Lonchura striata: one gene and its partner. The protein of the gene in region 1 interacts with the protein of each later gene in a biochemical or structural test. Links are inferred from orthologs where the notes say so. Each region holds a gene or a part of one and is shown in the gene's direction. Other genes may lie near its edges.

The links.
Region 2: of the proteins of CLSPN (region 1) and CSNK1G1, one has a biochemical effect on the other in vitro, tested with the Homo sapiens proteins (2 studies listed by BioGRID). The link is inferred for Lonchura striata from reciprocal best matches to the Homo sapiens genes CLSPN and CSNK1G1.

Annotation. Positions count from the first base shown.
Region 1 is NC_134628.1:3,984,664-3,997,145, reverse strand, and holds the start of CLSPN (claspin), read left to right. Parts: upstream 1-7,670; 5' UTR 7,671-7,740; coding exon 7,741-7,779; intron 7,780-8,546; coding exon 8,547-8,676; intron 8,677-9,229; coding exon 9,230-9,690; intron 9,691-9,991; coding exon 9,992-10,156; intron 10,157-10,726; coding exon 10,727-10,816; intron 10,817-11,058; coding exon 11,059-11,131; intron 11,132-11,389; coding exon 11,390-11,498; intron 11,499-12,025; coding exon 12,026-12,482. Other genes in the region: protein argonaute-4, read right to left, coding at 1,693-1,711.
Region 2 is NC_134613.1:7,428,441-7,440,661, reverse strand, and holds the start of CSNK1G1 (casein kinase I), read left to right. Parts: upstream 1-6,967; 5' UTR 6,968-7,043; intron 7,044-12,221. Other genes in the region: PCLAF (PCNA-associated factor), read left to right, coding at 468-525.

The DNA of each region.
Region 1 (12,482 bases):
TGCAATAATAAACCTATCATAAAACTTAGGGCAAATTTAGCATTATAACCTGATAGCATCCATGTATGACAAAATCTCAGAGTTTGTACCAGGAGAAAGGAGAGCTACATGACTCCTATTTGGGTACACTTCAGGCTGCAGTAATAAACTTTAACACAACCATAAACTAAACCCAGGACCAAGTCCCAGGAGATTCCATACTGGATTTAAAAGCCAGCCATTGGCTACTGCATAATCGAAAAAAATTACCAACCTAAGGACTCCAGCCCTGGAATATTTTTAAGCAGATGGAACACAGAGCAGCTGAAGCCCACTGCAGTGTCAGCTCTGCCAAGTTGCAGTGGCAGGGGGTTACTGGGGACAGATATCCCACAGGACACATGCCTGGCTCCACACCCACCTGACGGATCACGCTCCGTCACGGTCAGACCAGTTGTAGGGTACAGTTAGTGTTTAAAAAAGTTACAGTTTATTGTTTAAAAAAACTACAGCTGTCTTGACAAGCATGAATCATTGAGGGCAATCAAAGTTTGCTGTGCTTATTTGGATACGAGAGATGATCCATTAATCCCATGCTAATTAGTCTGAAGGAAGTGCAGGCACTGACCTCCTGCAAGAGATTAAATGACAACTATATTTACCCATTTTCCTCCCTTGCTATTGACATGTTGTTCAGACAAGCACAGCAATGCTGCCCTCTGTTCTGATCAAAGGAAATAAAACTTACATCTCCTCCTTCCTAAAGTTATTTCTTAAAGGATTCTAGAGAATCAGCTACAAATTGTTTTCCCATTTGAAGCCAGGCTGCCCTGGTGTCACAGGATTTTTATCTTATCAGCCTGACTAGTGTTGTATGTGCTGTTATATTTTAATTTCTCTCACCCTACAACCATTATGTACTAAGCACCTCAACTGAATTGCTTCAGACAGGAAGCAGTTTTCAAAACTGAAAGAGAATCTGCTTCTCCAGCTGGAACTCAGGGAGGCCACGATACATCACACACATACAGCAGGCTCTGAGTCAGCCCTCACTACCTCAAACTCTGGATTCTTCTGGAATTGCACCTTTGTGTCAATAAACGTTTTCTATCACACCAAAATTAGTATCACTTCGCTTATACCAATGGGAACGTGATGGGTCAGGTGTACAGGCCACTGAGGGCTAGAAATACATCCTGCAGGCATTTGACGGGAGAATAATCATGGAATAGGACACAAGCAGGAAAGCACCACATGCAAAAACCCACCAATATTTAAGCGAAGTTTGTTAAAGAAATAAACAGCTGGATTTTCAGACAGCATCACCTTAAACTCTCCGAAATAGCTCAATGTCAAATACAAAACTTGTCACTGCACAGGTTGCAGGGCGCGCATCGCTGTGACACTACAGCCCTGCCCGGCCCCGTCCCCTCGCTGTGGCTGTCCCGCTCCCAGCCCGTCCCGTTCTCCCCGCCGAGGGCGAGGCGCATCCCCGGTGTCCCCGGCAGCAGTGAGGCCGTGAGGGCCCCCGCACCCACCGCGCAAAGTTTCGCGCCCCGCTGCGGCTCCTCCGCGCCGGGCGGGCTGGGAGCGGGCCCCGCCGCTGCCGGGGAGCCCCGCCGGAGCCGGGGAGCCCCGCCGGGCCCGCGGCCTCCTTCCCCCGCCGTCACGGCCCGGCAGGCCGCGGCCCCCGCGCCCCCCCGCGCCTCTCACCGGGTCCCAGCGCCTCCATGGCGGCGGTGGCGGCCTCGCTGCTCTCGCCGCCGGCCCCGCCGCCCGCCCCGGGCCCCGCCGCCGGCCCCGCCGCCGCCGCGTAGCGCTTGATCTCGGGAATATTGGCGGCGGGGTGGGGGTCCGGCGCGGACACGGGGGCGGCGGGGCGGGAGGCGGCGGCGGCCGAGGAGGAGGATGAGGAGGAGGCAGCGGGGGCGCGGCGGGGAGCGCTCCCCGCGTTCCGCTTCCCCGAGCGGCGGCGCGAACAATCCCCGCGCTGCGCCCCCGCCGAGCCCGCGCGCGCCCCCGCCGCCGCCAGCACGCGCCCGAGCGCGCTCCCGGGCCGGGGATGAGGAGGAGGAGGAGGAGGAGGAGGAGGAAGAGGAGGAAGAGGAGGAAAAGGAGGAGGAGAAGGGAGGGAGGAAGAGGCCGCTCCGCGCTGCCCGGCGCCGCCGGCTCGCGCACGCGCGCCGCCCCCCCCGCGGGAGCGCGCACGCCGCCCGCGCGACCCCGCAGCCGCAACAGGTGACAGCTCTGAACCACGGAACCCCAAATATTGCGGGTTCGAAGGCAGCTCTAGAGATCGGCCACTGACAGCTCTGAACCACGGAACCCCAAATATTGTGGGTTCGAAGGCAGCTCTAGAGATTGGCCACTGACAGCTCTGAACCACGGAACCCCAAATATTGCGGGTTCGAAGGCAGCTCTAGAGATCGGCCACTGACAGCTCTGAACCACGGAACCCCAAATATTGCGGGTTCGAAGGCAGCTCTAGAGATTGGACACTGACAGCTCTGAATCACGGAACCCCAAATATTGCGGGTTCGAAGGCACCTCTAGAGATCGGCCACTGACAGCTCTGAATCACAGAACCCCAAATATTGCGGGTTCAAAGGCAGCTCTGCAGATCGGCCACTGACAGCTCTGAACCACGGAACCCCAAATATTGCGGGTTCAAAGGCACCTCTGCAGATCGGCCACTGACAGCTCTGAACCACGGAACCCCAAATATTGCGGGTTCGAAGGCAGCTCTAGAGATCGGCCACTGACAGCTCTGAACCACGGAACCCCAAGTATTGCGGGTTCAAAGGCAGCTCTAGAGATCGGCCACTGACAGCTCTGAACCACGGAACCCCAAATATTTCGGGTTCAAAGGCACCTCTGCAGATCGGCCACTCCCAACCCCCTGCCAAGGCAGGGTCAGCAGAGCAGGTGACAGGGACACGTCCATTTGGAATGTCTCCGGATAGGGAGACTCCATGCCTGCCCTGGACACCTGTTCCCGTGCTCAGCCACCCTCAACATAAAGAAGTTCTTCCTCATGTTAGGGTGAAACACTGTGATGGGCACCAGTGAAAAGATCCTTTCCAGTGGTGCCCAGCAACAGGGTGAGGAGCAATGGCCATAAACTAAAATACTTCCTCAGCATCAAGATGAACTTTCTATGAGGGTGGCCAAGCACTGGAACAGGATACCTGGGGAGATTATGGAGTCTCCTTGTCTGGAGAGGTTCCAAACTCACCTGGACACATTCATGTGTCACCTGCTCTGGGTGACCCTGCCTTGGTAGGGGCATTGCACTGGATGATCTGCAGAGGTCCCACTCCAACCCCAACAATTTTGTGATTTGGTGAAGTCTGGCACCATTCTCTTGGCACCTGCCTTTCAGATGTTGCTGTGGATTGATGGGATCCCCTCTCAACCATCCCTTCTCCAGAATAACCAGGCCCAGCTCCCAAAGTCTCTCCTCAACAGAGAGATCTCCAGACCTCCCATCATCTTTGTGGCCTCTGCTGGACCCCCTCCAGTATCTCCTTGTCTTTCTTGTCCTGAGGAGCCCAGAACTGGACACAGCACTCCAGATGTCCCTCACTAGGGCTGGGTGTCAGGATTCCCTCCCTGACCTGCTGGCTCTTCCCAGGGTGCATTTCATGCATGAGGCTCTTCCAGAGCCACCTCAGTAGAGGTGAGAGCTGCTGCCCCTCAGGCACCAGGAAGGAGGGGATTGTCTGTCTGTACCTCCCCTGTTCTGTCCCAAAACCCAACACCTGTTTGCAGGTTTGATAATTAACCCAGAACTCCAGCACACTCTGTGACAGCTACCCTGCCTGCCCACAGTGATGCTGCTCCAGCTTCACCAGTCCTCCACTGCTCCCCAAAACCAGGGAATTCTCCCTGCTCAATTGATGACACCCCGAATAACTCCCAGTACCAGCTAAACAGCCTCAGTGGGGTTTAAGACACCTGACAAAACAGGATTTGTACAAGACAGGTGAGCCACAGCACTGAACCTCTCAGGGTTGTGACCACCAGCCCCTGAGGCGCTCTGTGGCCACAGAATAGCTCAGGATCCATGAGGGCTGGAGATCCATGGCACAATCTTGGTCATCACCCAGGAGATGCCTGGGAAGCGTCAGGGGTGGGAACCCGTGGTGTTCCACTGACCAGGGCGTTCAGCTCCCGGGGAGAACCTTGCCATGGCCATGTCCTTTTATCCTCACAGACAATAAATTTGTCCTCTGTTAAAGAGACAACACTTCCAGCCATGTGCCATTAAATAAAGAGCCTAGGGACTTTTAGCCTTTTTAAGCAGTTTACGCTATTTTAGCAAGCTGCTCCCTTGTGCACCTCCTGGGTTCTGTTTAACCAACAGCTCTCTGCTGACTCAACAGAAAATCAGAAGTCAAAACATTTTATAAATAATAAATGCTGAGTCCACTTTATTTGCTTTTTTTAACCTGTGGGGCTGATATTTTCCAAGTTGAAACATCAAAAACTATTTTAAAATTAAATGAAATCTGAGATTCTCATGTAGATCTGAGATTCTCTCATAATTCCCTGACAGCAGTTGATGAACACCTGAGGAAAAAACCAGTTTTACCAGACCGGTAACAAACTCCACAGCATCTGACAACATTTCCATGCTATTATTCAGCATATCTATGTAGAAAAAACACATATGTATGGAAACACAAATAGTACTTTAAAAAAAGAAACACCAAAGATACAATCTCTGTCTCAAGAAATCTGCAACACAAAGGCTCAGTCCTGTAAGATGTTGAGTGTGATAACTAAAGCCTTTACTCACTGCTTTATAAATCCAATTAACTTGATAAATATTACACACATAGTAAGACATCCCTACTGCCACAGCAGTCAGAACCCTATTTCTGTAATTTAACCCAGCCTTATATTGAAAATAGCCACATTTGCAGGGTCAAGACTGGATTTAGGAATGACATATCAGAGTTATGACAGGATTATCTCTGTGGATTTCCTTCTAAACACCTCATCTGCTACAAGCTGGGGAAGGAGTATGTTGTTTAGTAAAAAAACAGATTTCTAAACTAGCTTTCATAACACAAATATCTCAATATGGGGCTTGATCCAGTGCTGAAAGTCTGTGTGCCATGTAGAACCTCCTTAATGGCAAACATTTTACCTGTTCCATGGCTGCCTCTGCGTGCCAGGTATGAGTAACAACCCAGGAGCAGAAATTAGCTAATGAGGCCAATCTTTTTGTCACCTTTTTCTTGTCACCTGACTCTGACTTCCATCCCGGCACAGCCATGAGGAGGTGTGTTTGTGCAGAGCCAGCATCTGTCCCTCTGTTATTAACACTAATTATTAAACTAATCACTGTAGCTCCTTGCAGCAGCTAGCAGAAAGCAGAACTGTGGTGTTTGTGGTGGGTTCCATGGACATTTGCTTTTCTCACTTCCTTTGTTCTCAGGCTTGTTGGCTCCATGTGAACTGACATGGTAGATCATTCTATCTGCTCCTTGTCCCTGGTAAAACCATATCAATAAAATACCCAAATAAAAAACTGACCAAACACCCCAAAACACTTTTTATTTTTTCTTCGCCTTCAGTGATAGCAGATTTCCACTGGGTGACATGGAAGGAAATGCATTACTGTAGCAGTATGTTCTACAAAGTAATTGTAATTATGAAAAAAATGCCAAATACCCCCAGTTGGGGATCAGAACAGGGTCCCTGACCTCACCCCAGCTCAAGGCTCTCCCTCCAGCTACTTGTAAAAGAACTACAGAACTAAACGTAGCAAAAATGGATAAAGTAGAATATTTTCCTACTTGGATTGATTCTGTACTAGAATATCCCTGTATGGGCCATTCACCTTGCTCTTGGACTTGATGATCCTTGTGGGTCCCTTCCAACTTCAAATATTCTGTGAAATATATAAAGTGATTTGCATCTGTTGAGCAGTTCTTCATTGACTTATATGTTTTCAGTAAATTTTTCTGGAGTCAGAAGTCTTTTTTGTCTTCCCTTAAGGAGCATTAAGCAGCAAGGTTAAGTAAAGAAATCATTAAACAACTATATAATGATGAGTTATGAGAGGTTAATCTTAAATCTTTTGAATGTAGAGGGAATATTCAGAAATTCAAGGTAGAAATTGAAATAAATTGAAAGAATTTACCCAAAAGGTTTGAGCCTTCATTCACCTAACAAGAGTAGGGTTGGCTCAGAGTATGTCTGTACAGCAGCCAATGGAAAATGCATGTATTTTATTCTGTAAATAGGACAGTAATAGCTGTGTGTATCTAATAACGATAAGCTTGACTCGTGTGTTCTCACCCACATGGTCACCTGGAGACAGGACATGTACATATTCCAAAGATCAAAACGAAACATAGGCTCTGTTTAAGCCATGAAACAACGTGAAATGTTTTGGCAGCAGAGCCCTGTCCCTGCAATGTCGATAATTGACAGAGCTGTAAATCCCCAGGTCCTTCACTGCCCTTCCCAGCCCCTCACTTCTCCTCAGGTCCCTCTCGCTCCCCCTCAACCCCTCACATCCCCTCATGTCCCCTTGTGAAAAATGCCAATCACTTGGTTTAAAAAATATTAAAAGTTTAATAATAATAAAATGCTTATAAAAATAGCAATACAATTAGAGTAATAAAGTTTAGAGTTAGGACAATCACAAGACAATAAAAAGCAAAGAATTAACAGAGGTCTGGATGCTCTCAGACACTCAGTCATGACAAGCATCCCTTGTGAACAAAGGAATCACCCTTAAACCAATACACTTGTTGCATATTCATACATCATTCATGGTTATGCATACATTCTATTCTAAACAAAAAACTCTGTTGTATGTCAGCTGTTTCTTTTAATCCCCATGGTATCTCCGAGTCAGAGCAAGGCCTGAAGAAATTAGTTTCTTCTGATAAGAAGCCATAAATTTCTCTCCTTTGGAAGATTTAGGTGTTCCTCGAAGTGTGTATCTCATTCCTAAAAAAAAGAAAAAAAAAACCAACCTCCCCCCTTATACAGAGTCTTTATTTTTTAACTACTAAAGTCTTCATTTTAACTACAAAAGCACAACTAATCAATATAACATAATACATATAGTAACTATCTGCGTAGAGCCATGTAATACGCATTTTTCACACCCTCACGGTCTCTCACATCCCCTCATATCCCCTCATGTCCCCTCACATCCCCTCACGTCCCCTCACATTTCCTCACATCCCCTCACGGTCTCTCACATTCCCTCATGTCCCCTCACATCCCCTCACGGTGCCTCACATTCCCTCACATTCCCTCACATTCCCTCACGTCCCCTCACATTTCCTCACATCCCCTCACGGTCTCTCACATTCCCTCATGTCCCCCTCACATTTCCTCACATCCCCTCACGGTCCCTCACATCCCCTCATATCCCCTCATGTCCCCTCACATTCCCTCACATCCCTTCACATCCCCTCACATTCCCTCACATCCCTTCACATCCCCTCACATTCCCTCACATCCCCTCACGGTCCCGCCCCAGCCCGGGCGCGGGGAGCGCCCCCCCCGCCAGGCGGCGCAATGGTGCTGGCGGGCGGCCCGAGAGCGGGAGCCGCGATTGGTCCATGCGGCTGGGGCGTGGCTTCAAGGAACCCCGCCCAGCAAGGCGGTCGGGGGCGGGGCTCACGGCGCTGTTCTGGGCAGCCATTGGACGATCCCGGTCGGGGGCGGGGCCAGGGCAGCGCGCGAAGGCTCGAAGCGGTCCCCGGGCGGCGGGAGCGCGGGCGGGCCATGGCGGCGGTACCGGTAACAACGGAGGGTTCCGCTGAGGTGAGTCCTGCCGCTCCCCTACGTTCGGCATGGCCGGCCGGCTGCTGACGGCGGAGGCAGCTCGCGACTGCCTGAGGCCTTGCGCCTCATCGGGCTGTGGCGAGGTGGAAGGCCCGGGAGGGACAGCGAGGGAAGTGGCGATTCCAGTAACCGTTTCGGTACGGTGCTCTTTCGGGTAGCACTGCCGGTGGCGGAGTCAGTAGTCCCAGCCACCTCTGCCCGCCACCCGTGATCGCGGGCGATCCCGCGCCGTCACTGGGCTCGCCCTTCCTGGCAGACTACAGCTCCCGGCATGCCCCGTGCCCGCCCTGCCGGCCGCGGGGCACGCTGGGAAGGCCGCGCTCAGCCGGTCTCCAGGGGCGCGGTGCATGCCGGGAGGGCTGCGGGGCCCGCCGTGAGGGGTCTGAATAAAAATAAATAAATAATAAAATAACGAGTGAAAGTCTCCCGTGTGAATGCCATCACATCAGCCAATGTCAGTTCTGTGCTTTTGCTGTGTAAACTCCCACGTATACTACCTTATATGTAAATATGCTACCCCACATGTAAATAGTCACTTGTATTGATAAATATGGTAAATATCAATAATAACAATAAGTATTACTAAATATGTAAATAGCATAATCAGACTATACGGAGAGTGCATATGGATTTCCTTGTGTGTGAGGTTTTGGAATGAATTTGGATGGCAGCAGTCAGGACTACATAAACATTACGTTACCTCATTAAGAAATTTTTAATTTAAAAAATGGTATTTTGCTTTGTAGCTTCCACTGGCAGATCTGAACCCAGACTTGCAGAAACCCCTGGACAGCGACTCTGACAGTGGCCAGGGCAGCTGTGAGACAACCTCCCCAGGCCCCCTTGGCAAGAGCACAGCCTCCTTCGAGGACAGAGGTCCGTAACAGTTCCATGAATTGTTTTTCTCCAACTCTACAGTTTTTGTTTAGTAAATACCTTTTAGGAGATTGTCACTGCTTGACCTGTAGGAATCCAAATTCTTGTTGTTGCTCAGAATGTGGGTAGGCATCTTTAAACCTCTGAAGAGTGCTACAGAAAGAAAAATATTGAATGGGATGTGCCTTAATTACTGATTCACTTTTTTCCTTGTCTTGTTTAATCTATGTAGTGTGATTTTTTATTACTATTTCAAGGCAAGACACTACCAGTGAAGAGTTTTCAGCTTTTCTTTTTTTTTTTTTTGCTTTGCTTTTTTTTTTTTTTTTAAGGTTAGAAACTTTTAACATCAATTTGGGTTAATTAAATGCTGTTCTCTGGGGAGAAGTGGATTTTGGAAAGTTGAGTTTGAAGCATGAAAGATTTTTCACACTTCCATGAGAAGCTCATTTGCTGTGGATGGTGACATATGTCAAATTTAACGGATGTAAATTTGGTTATTTGTTAATTAACTTGTTGCACTTTCCTTTTTTATTTTCATGTGTTTCTCCAGATTCAGAAGAAGAAATTTTTGTGCGTAAAAAAGCAAAAAACCAGAAGGTGCTTCAGGACAGTGAGAGCGAAGAGGAGGAGGAGGATGGAGGCTCACCTGTGCAGGAAGATGCTGTGGGTGGAGACAAGGAAAATGGGGAGGAAAAGGAAAATATTGCTACTGAAAAGAATAAATCCCATCGGGTTCGCCCAGCTCTGCTGGACACTGATGACAGTGACACTGGTGACCCTTTGCAGATTGAAAACCTTGAAACAGGCAGGACATCTGGCTTGCCTGAGGGTGAGCTGGAAAAGGAGAGACCCCTAAAATCTGGGAAAAAGTACAGGAAGCATAAACACAAACACAGCATTGAAGAGGAGCCAGCAAAAGAAGCTGTAGCAAAACCCAGAAGGAGAAAGGAGAAGGAGAAAATAATGGAGTCCATTAAACAGCTGAAGAAAGAAAAGAAGCCTGTGGCAGAGGTGGGTGTTTTAGTACAAACCTTCAGATAACTTCTCAACTAAGTTAAATTTATTGTTGTTTGTGGTTATTCTGTTGCAAAGCTTCAGTGTTGTGTCCACATTCCTGCAGCAGGTTTGAGATCCACAGAACACCATACAAGTTTAACCTGCAAAGTCTGCAGGTTCATTTCAATTTAATTTGCAGTTTAAGGAAGTACAAAACCTAACACTTGATGATTTAATGTAATTTTAAATTAATGTCAAAGAACCAAAGGGACCTTCTGAAGGGAATCACAGGAATAATTTATTCTTCTGGAAGCAGGTGGATGGTGGTGAGAGGCCTCCCTTCAATGACAGTGGATGTCTGCTGGATGACAAGGACCTCTTTGATAATGGCTTGGAAGAGGAGAGTGATCAGCCCCTTGAGGATGAAGAGTCTCTAGAATCCATTCGAGCAGCTGTGAAAAAGAAAATAAAACAATACAAGGTAACAGTTGGCTGTGACACAAAAATTATTGTAAATGTTCTCTTTTTCAAACTGATAGAGAATAGGTTTAGATGAGATATTGGGAAGGAATTTTTCCCTGTGAGGGTGGGGAGGCCCCTGAATCCCTGGAATTGTCCAAGGCCAGGTTGGACAGGGCTTGGAGCACTCTGGGACAGTGGAAAATGTCCCCATGGCAGAGGTGGAAAGGGATGATCTTTAAGGTCTTTTGCAACACAAATCATTCCATGGTTACTGGATTTATCAGGAATTTGTAGCTGAGCAGGTTCTAAAACTCTGATGATGGAGGAGTTGTACTGCTGTGGCAGAAGAGAGGAGAGCCTTCTGGTTTTTGTTTTTAAAGATGGAGGGATGTTGTTCTGGCAAGTTAAAAAGATAATGCTGTAGCAGGAGCTTTGGAATCTGCCCTTGTGTGGGGTTTGTGCTGGTTTATGAGAACCTTGCTGGCTTTGCTGACCAGTGTTAGTTCTGTACAGTTATTTGTGATGTGTTTGCCCTTGATAGTGCCAGTGTATTGATATAAATCTTTGGATTTCTTCTTATGCCCCATAGAACAAAGAACATTTTCCTGACAGTGAAGGCTACAAACATGTATTTGATGAGGAGAATGAGGAGCCTGTATTAAAGGAGCCAAAAAGGAAGGTGAAGTCTTCATCTTTTTAAAACTCTGTATTGTTTGTCGTGACTAAAATGGTTTTGTGTGCACAGTATGGCTTTTTTGGTTTTTTTGGTTTTTGTTTTTTTTTTTAGTGGATTTATTTTGACTCCTTGCTTTATTCCAACTCCTTGCTACTTGAAAGGGAAAAATAAGCTATTTAAGAAGTAGAAATAGAGCCCCATGTTTTGTTCCCTGACTTCAGAAGCCTTTCTTTTCTCCCCTTAAGGAGCGGAAAGCAGCACGCTTAAGTAAAGAAGCCATTAAACAACTACACAGTGAGACCCAACGACTTATTAGAGGTAAAACTTAAATTCTTACTATGGAAAGGTGTATAAACCGTTCAGAAATGCAGAGAAGAAAATGAAAGAATTTACCCAGGAGGTTAGAGCCTTCTTTGACCTAATATGACTTACTGAGGTTTTAAGGGTGCAAGACCATTTTTATTGAAGGACCTGTTAAAGGTATTTTTTTAACTAGTGAAAATAAAGATACTGGTTGGCAAATAAAGGGCACTCAGATGATGTTTTAAATCTTCTCTCACCATCTTTCTCTGGCAGAATCATCTGTGTCTCTCCCATATCATGTGCCTGAGGCCAAAACTGTTCATGACTTCTTCAAGAGCAGACCTCGACCAGCATGTCAAGGAAATGCCATGGCCCTGCTGAAGTAAGGACTTAAACCTTCCTCATCCGATTTTTTCATAAACTTTACACATCTCTAGCTTTTCTTTGGAGGATAACCAGACTTTCTTAGGCTCCTTTAAATCTGCAAAAGTAGGAAATTAGGAGAATATAATTTCTAACATCAGGCAATGCTGCTCTCCTGACAAAGTCAGGATGACTTTGGGGATGAGGGTCAGGAGAAACTCATATGAAGGAACTTACTGATGCAGAGTTACTTTAATGGGATTTAGGCTGAACCCCAATATTTTACTTGGACTGTTGCCTCTCTGAGTAATGTGTAGTAAGATACTGAAGCTACAGTAATCACAAAATCCCTCAGGAATTTCATACTCTGATACTGTAACCAGTACAAAACCTTTACATTTCCTTGAGTTCTCACAATGAAGGTTTCCAGATTTCTGTCTTTCATTTCTGCTTACACACTAATGACAATAATTAGGAAATGGCTCCTCAGGCTTATCTCCCTTTCACACTAACCATGGGTGGTATGTTTCTTTCTGCCTTTTTTAGGTCCTCTAAATACCAGCTGTCCCTAAATCAACAATCTGCAGCCATCGGGAGCAAGGACTGCAAAGATGGGCCAGTGGAAGGTGATCAGTCAGCAGCTACTGAACCAGAAATGAACCTGGGCAGAGATGTTGATGCTTCTGTGGCTGAGCCTCCTGCTGCTGAAGGGAAGAACTTGCCAGAGGACTGTGGTGAGCAGCCCAGGGAGGACAGGGAGGATTCTCATGCAGTTACAGGGACTGTAACTGATGATAACACAGAGGAACAGCAGCTCTCCAACTGCCTGAGCACTGACTGTGATGAGCAAAAGGAGAGTGAAGTTCCTCCAGTATCTGGAGATGCCCTCATGGAAAGAGGGGAAACAGCCCCAGATGCACAAGGTGAAAGAAAGAGCCAACAAGTGGGGCCTGGGCTGGTGGCACAGCCTGAAAAAGTGAGGAAATCCAAGCTGGATAAACTT
Region 2 (12,221 bases), on another chromosome or scaffold:
TAACCTGTAGGCTGCACTACTGACTAAAAAGGCAGTAGTATAAAATATTGTCTTACAGACACTCTGTTTTCCATAAAGAATTCTGAGTTGAACCTCCATTTTCCCAGCAAAGATAGGTATTCCCAAACTGCCAGGGGGAGCCCATAAGAATCAGCCCCAAACTGTCCAGCAGGACAAGCAGACAAAGGCTTTTAAGTGCATCCCACCTGTTGGTGAAACAGAAAACGTTTTCTGTAGCACAGGAAGACTTTGATCCCTTTAATTTGGAGTTTATTGGGCCAAGCAAAAACAAGGTGGTGAGAAGAGAACACAAGATAAAGTAGCCCCTGTCAGTCCTGATGCCCCAAGGTGCTGTCTGGGGCTAACCTAGGTCATTTGGGTCACATGGGCTTTGGGAAAAGGGCTCTGTTAGCCTTTCAAACCAGAGCTGGTTTCTGCTAATTCTTCTGAAATAATGCTCCTTACAGAACTCGGCCCCTGCCACTGGATCCTGCCGAAGAGGGAGAGTGCTCGGAGGAAGAGTAGATGTGATCTGACCTCAATTTTCATGTTAAAATGCTCCTGTTGAGCTGGGTTTTATACATTTGCATAGTTCTTTACAGTTTTTTATGGCTTCCTTTCAACTTTTGTACAAGACTAAACGTCTGAGAGATGGCACAAACACTGGAATAATTAAGTAATTTTTACTGTTTGGAATGTAACGTTTACTTTTGAAGCTTAATGTTTATTTTAAGCCACTGTAAACCACAAATTTTTACCTTTGTTTGCTTGAGTTCCTCCTGCATGTTGGGCAGCTTTTGTCTTTCATCTTCTGCCTGCCTTGTGTTTGTGCAAGACTTGCATGATCCTGGTTGTTCCGTTACTGAAAAGCAGATCCTCCTTTTTTAAATAAACTGAAGCGTTCTGAGCACACACCTGTGTTGTGTCTTAATTGTAGTAAAAGCTGTTAATGAAGATTTCTTTGCCCAAAGATGGGAAACTGGATTTGGAAAGACACCAGAGAGGTGGGTGAGCAGCTGAAACTTGCTCTGATTAGAGGTGAAGTTTACCTAAAACAAGCTAGTTGTTCTAAAGAATCAGAACTCCGAAAGCTGGGGGAGCAATAAATGGCTAAAACTAAATAAAACTTGTTATGGTGGTTGTTACAACTTTGCCACATAACTTTTGGGGTAATTCATAGGAAAAAAGCAAGTGGGGCCTTGTGACAGGTCTTAATGGCAGGGGTTCTGCTTGTGCTCACTCAGAAGCTCCCTGAAATAATGGAATATTGCTGAGCAGATGAAAAGGGGAATTTAGGAGGAGCTTGAAATTTAAATTTAGCACATCAGGAGAGTTTAGTGGCAGCTCTTGTAGGTCAGCCTGGTGGGGAAAGCAGTGAATGCTGTAAAAACCTCTTCCTAAAAAGTCTATTGATAAAAAGGAGAGTTGTTACAGAAAAGCAATTCAAGTTTGAATGAGAAGTAGCAATTGATCATTCCTTAACAGAAATTTTTAAAAGATTATGTAAATTAAGGGGGAAAATCTGAACAAGCCACAGACTTCTTTGCCCTAATACCCCACAAAACATCATCACAGTGACAGGTCCCACATTGGCATTAGTGGCAGCTCTTTCCTGTCCCTTTGACCTGCCAAACCAGCGTATCCTGAGTTCCATTTCTCCTCTAAAAATGCCTGGGAGACAGGAAACACCTCGGGGCTCTGATCAGATCTGCTCATCTCCTGCATGCCCTCAGCTGTGATCCATGATCAGCTGCTCCATCAGGGCTGTGCAGCTGCCGGGTGGGAAGGGGGAAGGATGAGGAGCTGCTCAGTAAGGAACAATTCTCATAGAGACCTGAATCACAGATCCAAGAATGGTTTGGGTTGGAAGGGACCTCAAAGCTCAGCCCCTGTCATGGGCAGGAACACCTTCCACCAGCCCAGGTTGCTCCAAGCCCTGTCCTGGCCTTGAACACTTCCAGGGATGGAGCATTTTCTCTGGGAAATCTGTGCCAGGGGCCTCCACACCCTCACAGAGAAAAAAAATTCTTTCCCAATATCCCATCTAACCCTCCCCTCTGGCAGTGGGAAACCATTCCCCCTTGCACTCCAGACCCTTGTAAAAATAGTCTCTCTCCATGTTTCTTGCTGCCTCTTTCAGGCACTGCAAGGCCACAGTTAGGTCACCCTGAAGCCTCTCTTCTCCAGCCTGAACAATCCCAATTCTCCCAGCCTTTCCTCCCAGCAGAGCTGCTCTGTTCTCTGACCATTTTGGTGCCTCCTCTGGACTCACTCCAACAGCTCCATGTCCTTCCTGTGCTGGATTGCTCTTACACATCATTAAGCAGATAAAATCTGATGGGGCTGGAACACACGAGGCTGTGGAGGGATGTGAGGAGCTTGGGACCAAATACGTGCCTCTGTGGTATGCACCCACCCTGCTGGGAACCTCAGGAAAGAGCAAAACTTGGTACTAAGGAGCAACTAAACTGCTTTTGCCTCTAATAAACAAATAAATGTGTTCCATCTGCACAGATAAAATCCAAATATTTACAACAGGACCTGCAGTCTTAAAGCTGGGTTTTTAATAAGAACAAAATGCAGGAGAAGATGTTTACTTGGCTTCTTTCCTGCTCCAAAGGGAATACGGGAGGGTGACCTTCAGCCCACCCTCCCTGGAGCTGGAGCTGGTTTAGCTCCAGCTGTGCCCCTGCTGCTAATCTTTGAGTCTATAGGGAAACAGGAACAGCTCCCAGCTCTTCTGAAAATGAGGGGAAAAATTCAGAAAGAGAGATAGTGCTAAAGCTCAGGATTGAGAGGAATTGAAAGATTTTTCCAACCCGATCCAGCCCGGGACTCCACTTTTGAACACCAGTACCCCAGGCTGACCATAGATGTCAGCAGCAGCTTCAGCTACAAACGCTGGGCTGTGTCAGGACCAGACACGGCGCCTTCTGCCTGGGACCAGTTTATTTAGGAAACGTGAAGAGAATATAGAAATGCATGGACGAGAGACTGGAATTGCTCATTTCCTGAGTCTGTGTTATCTTGCCAGGTAAGGAAATGGCTTCAACAAAATCCCATGTCGGCAGCTGAATCCCCATGGCTTCCTCAAACCCAGCAGTGCTGGAGGGTCAGGGATGGGCACTGAGGGCAACCCACTCCCCCCAGCAGATTTTATTTCCATCCCAACACATGCAATTTTCTTCCAGTAGTCCAAATTATTTATCTGACCCCTGACCTTGAGAACATCCCAGCCCTGAGAGCACTAATGAGCAATAAACTGTTCTCAGCTGAGCCTGAAGGTCCAAGAGCTCCTTTTGACCCAGCCTGGGGCACCCACACTTTTCCCCAGGGGATGTTGGATGTACCCACATCACAAATAAGAGCTCAGGGGTCACTGCTGGCACAACTGGGCATGTGGTTCAGCAGGAGCTGCTGGATGCTCCAAAAACAGCTGCAAAGTGAGTAAACAAAGTGTTTAGGAGAGGAGATGGAAGTGTTTAGGAAATAAGAATTCCTGAGGGCCTAATATATTGAATTTTAAATCTTACAGGGTAAAATGATCTTTGGGCAAGAGACAGTGATGAAACAGATGCCATCCTATCTCATCCCCATAGCCTAAGGCTTTTCCTTTTCTTCATAGGGATAATTACAAATTGCTGCTGCTCCAGAGCACTTTTGAGCTTTTCCTGGCAGACCCCTTCTCCCCTCAAGTCCGGAACAGGACAGACAGCACATTTCTGTTGGATTTAGCTGGAAGGAAGGATCTGCTGCTGCTGTCCTGCAGCCAGGGCTGCACAGGGGGGCAGCTGCTCGGCGGGGACAGCAGATGTCTGGGCCGTGGGGACAGAGACAGAGGGGAGGGGAGCAGGGCCATCAGCTGTCAGGCTGCTGACCTCTTACCCTGCCATGGGAAATCCACTGCCAGATCTCAGGGATCTCATCCCCAGATGAGGGGGTTTCATCGTTTATTCTGATTTTCAAGGCTTTTTCTGTCACCAGACCATGTCCCATTTAGAGCTGTGATTGTTGACTTCCCAGTCTTTGGAGGGCAGCCTCCCTGCTTTAGAGTTCAGGTGTTGCCTGCTAATGTTAAGGGAGATAACACTCGACTCCTTTTAGAGCACTACTAATTTTGGTAAATTCCAAACCTGTTTGTGTATATTCCTGCTCTGGATTGAGTGGTTACAGGGCTGTTTCTATTGGAAGAGAGATGGGTGAGCCCTTGGTACCTCCTATATTCTCACCTCTGCCAAAACATGCACTTTTAAGCTTTGTCTTTCCTTTGACTTTGCTTTTTTCCCCTTTGGACATTACTCAGAAGGATATGAAGTCTGTCTGTAGGGTCCCCCCTGCCCACGCTGGCATGTTGGGGTGGTGCCTCCCTGTGCCTGATCTTCAACAGGAGCTTCTTTGTCCTTCTCGCTGCTCTGGACAAAGGGGAATTGTCCTGCCCACCAGCTCCACGAGCCACTTCATCCCAGCCAGAGATGCAGCAAGAGAAGCAGGATGTTTCCTTTCTGTTCATAAGAAGGTGCTTGGGAATCAGGCTGGAATCTCACCTGTTTGGGCTGGGGATGAGGAGGCAAGGAACCTCCTTTGCTGTTCTCACTCACCCCAAACGTTTTTGGGTCAGCTTTGACCCACCCCCACCCCCTTCATTCAACACGCAGGCTGGTTCAGATAAACTCCCAAGGGATTATCACAGGGCTAATGAGAATCCACACATTTAATAGGACTTAGCAGAAAAACAACTCAGACTAAAATTGATGATAAATCATTTTTCAGAATTAAGATGCTCTTTGGGAGTGCCCAGATGGTTCAGAGTAGAAAAAATGGGAGCTGAATTGCAAAAATACCTCTCCCTTTGATCAAAGATATTGTCAATACTGTGATATACACATTATTATTATTTTCCACAGATAATAGCACAAAGAATAAGCAAAATAAACTCATTGTGGAGTAGAGACTCAGGCTAGGGTTTGACAAGATGCTGCCAGGACAGGCTTTTCAGGTGGCTGGATTGAGACACTCTACTTTTGATATTGACAATTTAAAATGTTTAATAAGAAATATTAAGCCTTTATTAAACCTGTACTGAGTCAGGCGAGTGCATATAGTTCTGAACAGAGAAAGCAAAAACCTAAAGTGAAATGTCCATTTTGATTAGATCTGGGCTTTTTTTTTCCGGCTAACAACAGCATCAGGGAAAAAATTCCAAGCTCGGCCTCAGGATTACAAGGTAGTAGGAGAAATAAATAATTGTAATGCCTAAATTATGGATCTAAACACATTTTCCAAATAAACCTTTGGTTTATCCTTGGTAGGGCCCATATGCTGGCAAGCTGTTATGTGTGTGGCTGGATAATGGAATTGTCCCCAGGCTGGAGGCCTGCACACCGGGGAGGAAGTTTTTCCTCATGATGTTTTCAACCATTTTCAAGGAATTAGTAACCTGGTTGGGTGGAAGGTGTCACTGCCTACAGCAGGGAGGGAACGAGATGGTCTTTAAGGTCCCCAGGGAGGGAACAAGGTGGTCTTTAAGGTCCCTTCCAACCCAAAGCAGTCCGTGATTCCGTGATTCTATGAATATGCCAGTTTAAAACATCCATCTGGAAAACGCCAAGTTCTTCACCAGAATGAGCCTGGGAGCATCCAGGTGACAACCCCAGTGGGTTTCTGCTTCTCTTCCACAGACTCAAGGAATGGTTCAGGTTGGAAGGGACCACCCTGGCGGATGCCGAGCCCCAGGGGGTGCTGAGCTGAGCCCCAGAGGATGCAGAGCCACACTGGGTGCTGAGCCCAGATTTGTGTGGAGCCTGATGGATGCTGAGCCCCGGAGGGTGCTGAGTCCCAGTGGATTGCCAGGCTGAGTCCCAGAGGATGAAGAGCCCCACTGGGTGCTGAGCTCCAGTGGGTGCTGAGCCCCAGAGGAGGGTGAGTCCCAGTGGATTACCAAGCTGAGCCCCAGAGGATGCAGAGCCACACTGGGTGCTGAGCCCAGATTTGTGTGGAGCCTGATTGATGCTGAGCTCCGGTGGGTGCTGAGCCCTGGAGGGCGCTGAGTCCCAGTGGATTGCCAAGCTGAGCCCCAGAGGATGCAGAGCCACACTGGGTGCTGAGCCCAGATTTGTGTGGAGCCTGATTGATGCTGAGCCCCGGAGGGTGCTGAGCCCTGGAGGGCGCTGAGTCCCAGTGGATTGCCAAGCTGAGCCCCGGAGGATGCTGAGCCCCACTGGGTGCTGAGCCCCGGAAGAGGGTGAGTCCCAGTGGATTGCCAAACTGAGCCCCAGAGGATGAAGAGCCACACTGGGTGCTGAGCCCAGATTTCTGTGGAGCCTGATTGATGCCGAGCCCCACTGGGTGCTGAGCCCCGGAGGACGGTGAGTCCCCAGTGGATTGCCAAGCTGAGCCCCGGAGGGTGCTGAGCCCTGGAGGGCGCTGAGTCCCAGTGGACTGCCAAGCTGAGCCCCGGAGGATGCTGAGCTCCACTGGGTGCTGAGCCCAGATTTCTGTGGAGCCTGATTGATGCCGAGCCCCACTGGGTGCTGAGCCCCGGAGGACGGTGAGTCCCAGTGGACTGCCAAGCTGAGCCCCGGAGGGTGCTGAGCCCTGGAGGGTGCTGAGTCCCAGTGGACTGCCAAGCTGAGCCCCGGAGGATGCTGAGCCCCACTGGGTGCTGAGTCCCGGAGGGCGCTGAGTCCCAGTGGATTGCCAAGCTGAGCCCCGGAGCATGCTGAGCCCCGGCTGACGCCGAACGCGGCGGGTGCCGAGCGCGGCTGCCGCCGAGCCCGGCCGGGAGCGGAGCCCCGCGGCCGCCGCTCCCCCTGGCAACGCCACGCGGTTTCCAGGCCCGCGGTGCCCCGGAAGCGGCGCGGGCGCGGCGCGGCCATAGGGCGGAGCCGCGCGGGGCGGTGCCGGCGCCGAGCGCTGCCGGGTCGGGCTGTGGCCGTCGAGTGCCGTGAGGGAGGAGCTGCGGCGGGCGCGGGGAGAGCAGCGGCGGCTCCGGCCCGGCCCAGCCCGGCCCGGCCCGCCCGCGGAGCGCAGCGCCGGCGGAGCAGGTGGGGGCGCGGGGCGCGGCGCGGGGCCCGGGCGGGGGGCGGCTCCCGCGGCCCGCCCGCGGCGGAGGCTCCGCCGGGCTCGGCGCTCCCGGTGCGGCGGCTGCGGCTCCGGCCGGCCGGCGGAGGAGCCGCCGTGGGGCGGCCCGAGGGACCCCGGGGGTCGCAGCTGCCCCCGGTGTGGGTCCGGGGCGCTGGGCTGGTGCTGCCCGCGGGGCGGAACGGGGGGGTTCGGGTCGGAGCAGCCCGAGCTGAGGGACTGTCCCGGCGGTGCCGGGCAGGGACCTGCCGGGGAAGGAGCTGGGGGTGCCTGGGGAACTGCTGGACCCGGTGGTGTTCCCGGTCTGAGGGAGCGAAGTGCTCTGTGTAACTGGAGGTGTATCAGCAACTTATTTGTGTGAAGAAGTTATTTATCCCCTCTACGTCTGGGAAGAATTTCTGTATGCTGTTTGGCACACTGTGAAGCTCTAAGGGCTGGGGTTTGTTGTCTTATCCAAATCACGGAATCGGGATGGCTTGGGTTGGGAAAATCTTAAAGGTCATCTCATTCCACCCCTTGCCGTGGGCAGGGGCACTTTCACTAGACCATACTGCTCCAAACCACGTCTAAGCTGGCCTTGGACACTTCCAGGGATGGGGCAGCTCAGCTGCCTCAGGAGGGTTAGTTACATCTTCCCTTCCAAATGTCTCACGGCTACCAGCAGTCCCCTTTAGCCTTTCTTGACAGTGACTTCTCTGTTCCTGGGAAGTCTTCTGAGCAGAGTCCAAGCTCTGTTGGGCTGCCTCCTGTGCCTGACTTCATGTGACATTTTCTACCTCACTCATTTCTGGTTTCTATGACCTGCCTGAAGTCCCACTGTCACGGGTGTGACCTCAGACTTGACTGGTTTTTTTTTACTAGTGACCTAATGCCTGTCAGCTTGTGCAGCCACTCCCCAGGTTCTTCAGGATCTGCTTTTTCATTCTCTCAGCTCCCCAGCTGCTGGCTGTGATCTACCCAGATAAACCATCCCTACATCCCTGGTTCAGTGTTGTGTTGGTAACTCTGTTGGGAGAGGTTGATGGGTAAACTGGGAATCACGAGCTTTGTTCCTGTTGAGAAGCCCTTATCAAATATTAGCAGCATTTTCCCACAGACACATTCCAAAAAACACAAAGAGTGCCTTGGAATTATGAGTTTGCAGAGATTCAGGCTGCAAAATTCCTCAATGCTTGCCAGTTGCTCAAGTTTTAGAAGTGCCACCTGGATGGTGAAGTGTTACTGATGAGAGAGTTTGGGTTTCGTGACATTGCTGTCGTAGAGAGATGCACACACCGGTTATTTGCACAATAATCTGGGTTCACACTGGAGCTCTTGGAGTCAGGGATGAGCTGGAGGTGCTGCCAATGATAAATATCAGCAGGAGTTCTTGTTCAGGGAAGGTGACCGCTGGCAAGGTGTGACCAGATAAGAAAGAATTTAAATATCATGGTGTGTAATAAAAGAAATCATTATTAGTAAAAAACATGCAGATGTACTTAGGAAGAGTGGAGGATGGAGGTGAGAGGTGCCAGGGAAATCTCAGTTTCCATGTTGAAGTTCTGGTTGCTGGTGTAGCGGCTCCCCGGCACCGCTGATATTCCAGCTTTTTGGCAAAAATCTTGCTGACTCCAGTGCAATTTTAGACTATTGGCCTGATAAAATCAGGGCTTTATGCTCACACCCTTCGTAAGCACCTAAGCTTTTTTCAGATACAAGTGTTTCTTTAAACAGTTCCTGCCCTGAAATAACTTTTTCTGGACTGGGCTGCCACAATTTGTATTCTTTAGGAGCTGTTGTGTGGTGGGGAAGAGGAGTCTCATCTCTCTGCTTTCCTCTGCAAATCTATAACTGTGTGTTTTCAACGGCTGGCCAAAAGCCCTCACAAGTTTGGGCTCCTTGCTGTACTTCGTGTAAGTTCTGTTTTCTGGACATGAGGGCTGGAAACTCACACCAGATTCTCACAATACATTTAACTGGGACATACCTGCTGGTGTTTATGCCAGAGCTGCTTCCTATAAATCAGCTCTTCTCTCCATTGGTGCTTTCGAAAAGCTTGGCCCAGCTGTTGGCTCTCTATTTTCGAACCACAGTCACTCTTTTCTCTGTTCTCTGTTGCTCTCTTCCCTGCACATGTTTGCTCAAAGCTAATCCCTGAGGGGAGCAGAGCAGGGAATGGCAGGGGAGGGCTCTCTGGGATGCTGTGCCGTGTCACGGAGAAGTCCTTTGTGCTGATATCCTTCATGTCTGAGGCAGGTTGGTGGCTCATGGGACATGGCAACAAGCTAATATCCTGTCTCTCTTTTCCCTGGATTAAAGAGCTTCCTAGTTCATAGTAGTGTTTCTTGTGAAGTTTGAAGTGTGTAACCTTGCCTCATTCCAGCCCATCTATCTTGCTCTTCTATAGGAGTTTTCATGCTGTTCCAGTTCTCTGTGTGGGCAACAACTTGGTTTGCTGTGCTGGAGTCACCAATGGAAACTATTCAGGCAGGTTCAGAACTCCACTCTGAGGGGAGCTGTGAGCTGGGCAAGTTCCTAAGTCCATCCTAGTCCACAGCCACTTGCAGCTTTCCCTGCCCTGACACTGCTCCCTTTTCCAGCTCTTAGGAAGCAATCAGCCACTGTGTATTTTCAGGTTAACAGATGAAATCCTGTGTAATGCCTTAAAAAGTGCTACCAGATGAGACCAGGAATCCATCTGGCCTGGTATCCTGCTCACTGGTAACCAGGAGCAGATGCTTGGGGAGGGGAGAACACAAACACAGCAGATCTAATCCAGGGAAATAATGTTTTATTTTTCTCTCTCCAGCAGTTCATGACCTCCCTGAGCCAGGTGTTGAATTTAGGAACCTTTACACTTCTCTTCATGATATTAATGATTTTAGGAAAATACTTTTTCCATTCCTGATAGTCTCTTGGCTGAATTGTCCTCATATATTTAGACTTTCTGTAGCTCTCCTTGTATTTCATGTCATTACCAGCTCTGCTTCAGCTCTGCTTCCTCCTTGAGACAGGTAAGGCAGGAGGAGTGGGGCACAGGACAATGGAGGACATTGACAGAGGTGCTGGGTTATATTTATGGTGCAGATACCTTTTTAGAGGTATGTTATCCTATATTATTGTCTCTGTAATTACAAATGTTGTGCTTGTTCATTAGTGATCTTAAAACCCATGGAGCCATGTTTTTTGGTGGAATATTCTGCTGTAGTCCTGCTTCCTAGGGTTGGCATGAGTTCAGTCTGTCATGTTTCTTGAAGTTGACGTTAGGGTGGTTGTTCCTGATGTGCTGCTCTGTGAATTGTATCACCCACTCATATCACGAGATTTTACTGCAATTCCTTGGAGTCATTGCTCTTATTTACTTCTCATCCTGAATTATTCAGAGTAGCAAATGTTGTCATCTTAGAAACACAGCTCTGTGTAAAGCAGAATCCTTTGGTGAGTCCTTGCTGCAGAATGGACCAGTGATATGTTCTTCTCCCTTCTTTACCAGTTATTTCTGTACATGAAGGATTTTTCCTTTTATCCTGTAGTTTTTATCTCCAGAGATCTTTGGTGGATTCTGCCTTGTAGTATTCTTGCTTTTTTCAATGGAGTGTATCAGCTGATTTTCCCTTGTTGATGTGCTCCGTCCACTGCAAAAGGAAGAAGGAGAAGGGTAAAAAAGACAACAGCCCCTGACTTCTGAGACACAGCTTCATTTTGTACAATATAATTAGCCCTGCAGCAATTTAGGCTGGTCTTTAGGCCAGCTCTGGTTTGCCTAGCATGGCTGCCTGAGCTGGGTTGTCCAGACTCTGCTGAATTGTTCTGTGAAAGCTGGGCCAAGAGACTTTCTAGTACCAGCTTTAACCAAGGGCACTTCCCCATCTCCTCCTGTGTGACTTTGGGTTATAGTGAGGCTGTTACTGTCACCTCATCATATTTTGCTACCAAAAGCCAAGCTCAACATACTCAAGAGTGTGTATAAACACAATTTTAATTTTTGGGAGATGTTGACTGATGATTTATTAACACAATAATAGATCATGTGGCTTCTAACCTTTTTTCCCTTACTAAAAGCTTGTAAATTTAGATTTTGTTTCCTTCTTGGACATTTAGCCTTGCTCTAGAGATGGGTTGGCTTTGATTGCTTGGTCAGATCACACTGTAGGGCTCACACCAATATTCCTACTGCTATCCAAGGTGAAGTCAGGAATTAGTTTAGATTAGATGTTAAGATGAAATTCTTCTTTGTGAGGAAGGTGAGGCCCTGGCATAGGTGGCCCAGAGAAGCTGTGTCTGTCCCAAGTGGAGTGTCCAAGTGTCCAAGGCCAGGCTGAACAGGATTTGGGGCACTTTGGGATTGTGGAAGGTGTCCCTGCTCATGGCAGGAGATGGAACATGATGAGCTTTAAGGTCCCTTCTCATCCAAACATTCCATGGTTCTATGAGTTGCTGCTTCTCTCATCCACTGCTGGGAAGGAATCACTTTTTGCTATTGAAGAACTTGGTCCTGGTGTCACACACACTGACCTGGCATTTGCTCTGGTGACATGTGGGACATGGAGCTTGGTTAACACTGTGTGTTTTTTTAATGTCTAGTGGCTCCTCTACTCTCCACTGTGTTTTAAATGAACTTGCTATGTCCACTTGCAAACCAGACATTTGAGTTTTTCCATCATACTTTTAGACTTACAGCATTTGTGCAGAAACACTCCTGACCCTTGTTTTTGTCTTTCCATCTGACTTGCACTGTGTTGATTCTTTTCTAGCAGGGGATTTTCACATGGCTAATTCTTGTCCCATCTGTAGGAGTTCTTGAGGAGATGAGGCTCTTATGAATCACCTTCTTTCCCCCCAAAGATGCATCCTCCTCAAATATACTCTTCTCTGGATCTGCTGGCTTTCCTCTTCTGCAGTGTGAGAGAAACCTTTAATTTTGATTGCAGGGGCCACTGTCATGGTGCTGTTTTGATACATTCAGTCCTTGTTCTTTTACAGGCTTCCAGTTGTCCCAAAACCTTCTCAGATCCTAATGAATCCAAGCCCAAGTGTGGGAGCCATTCTTTGGGATGCTGTCACGCAACTCTTGCTCATTGCCTTCCTATTCTCAGCCTGAATTTTGCCTCTGGACATTTCCCTCCTCTTTTGCTGGCTGTACCCTTGCCTGGAGTGCCAGG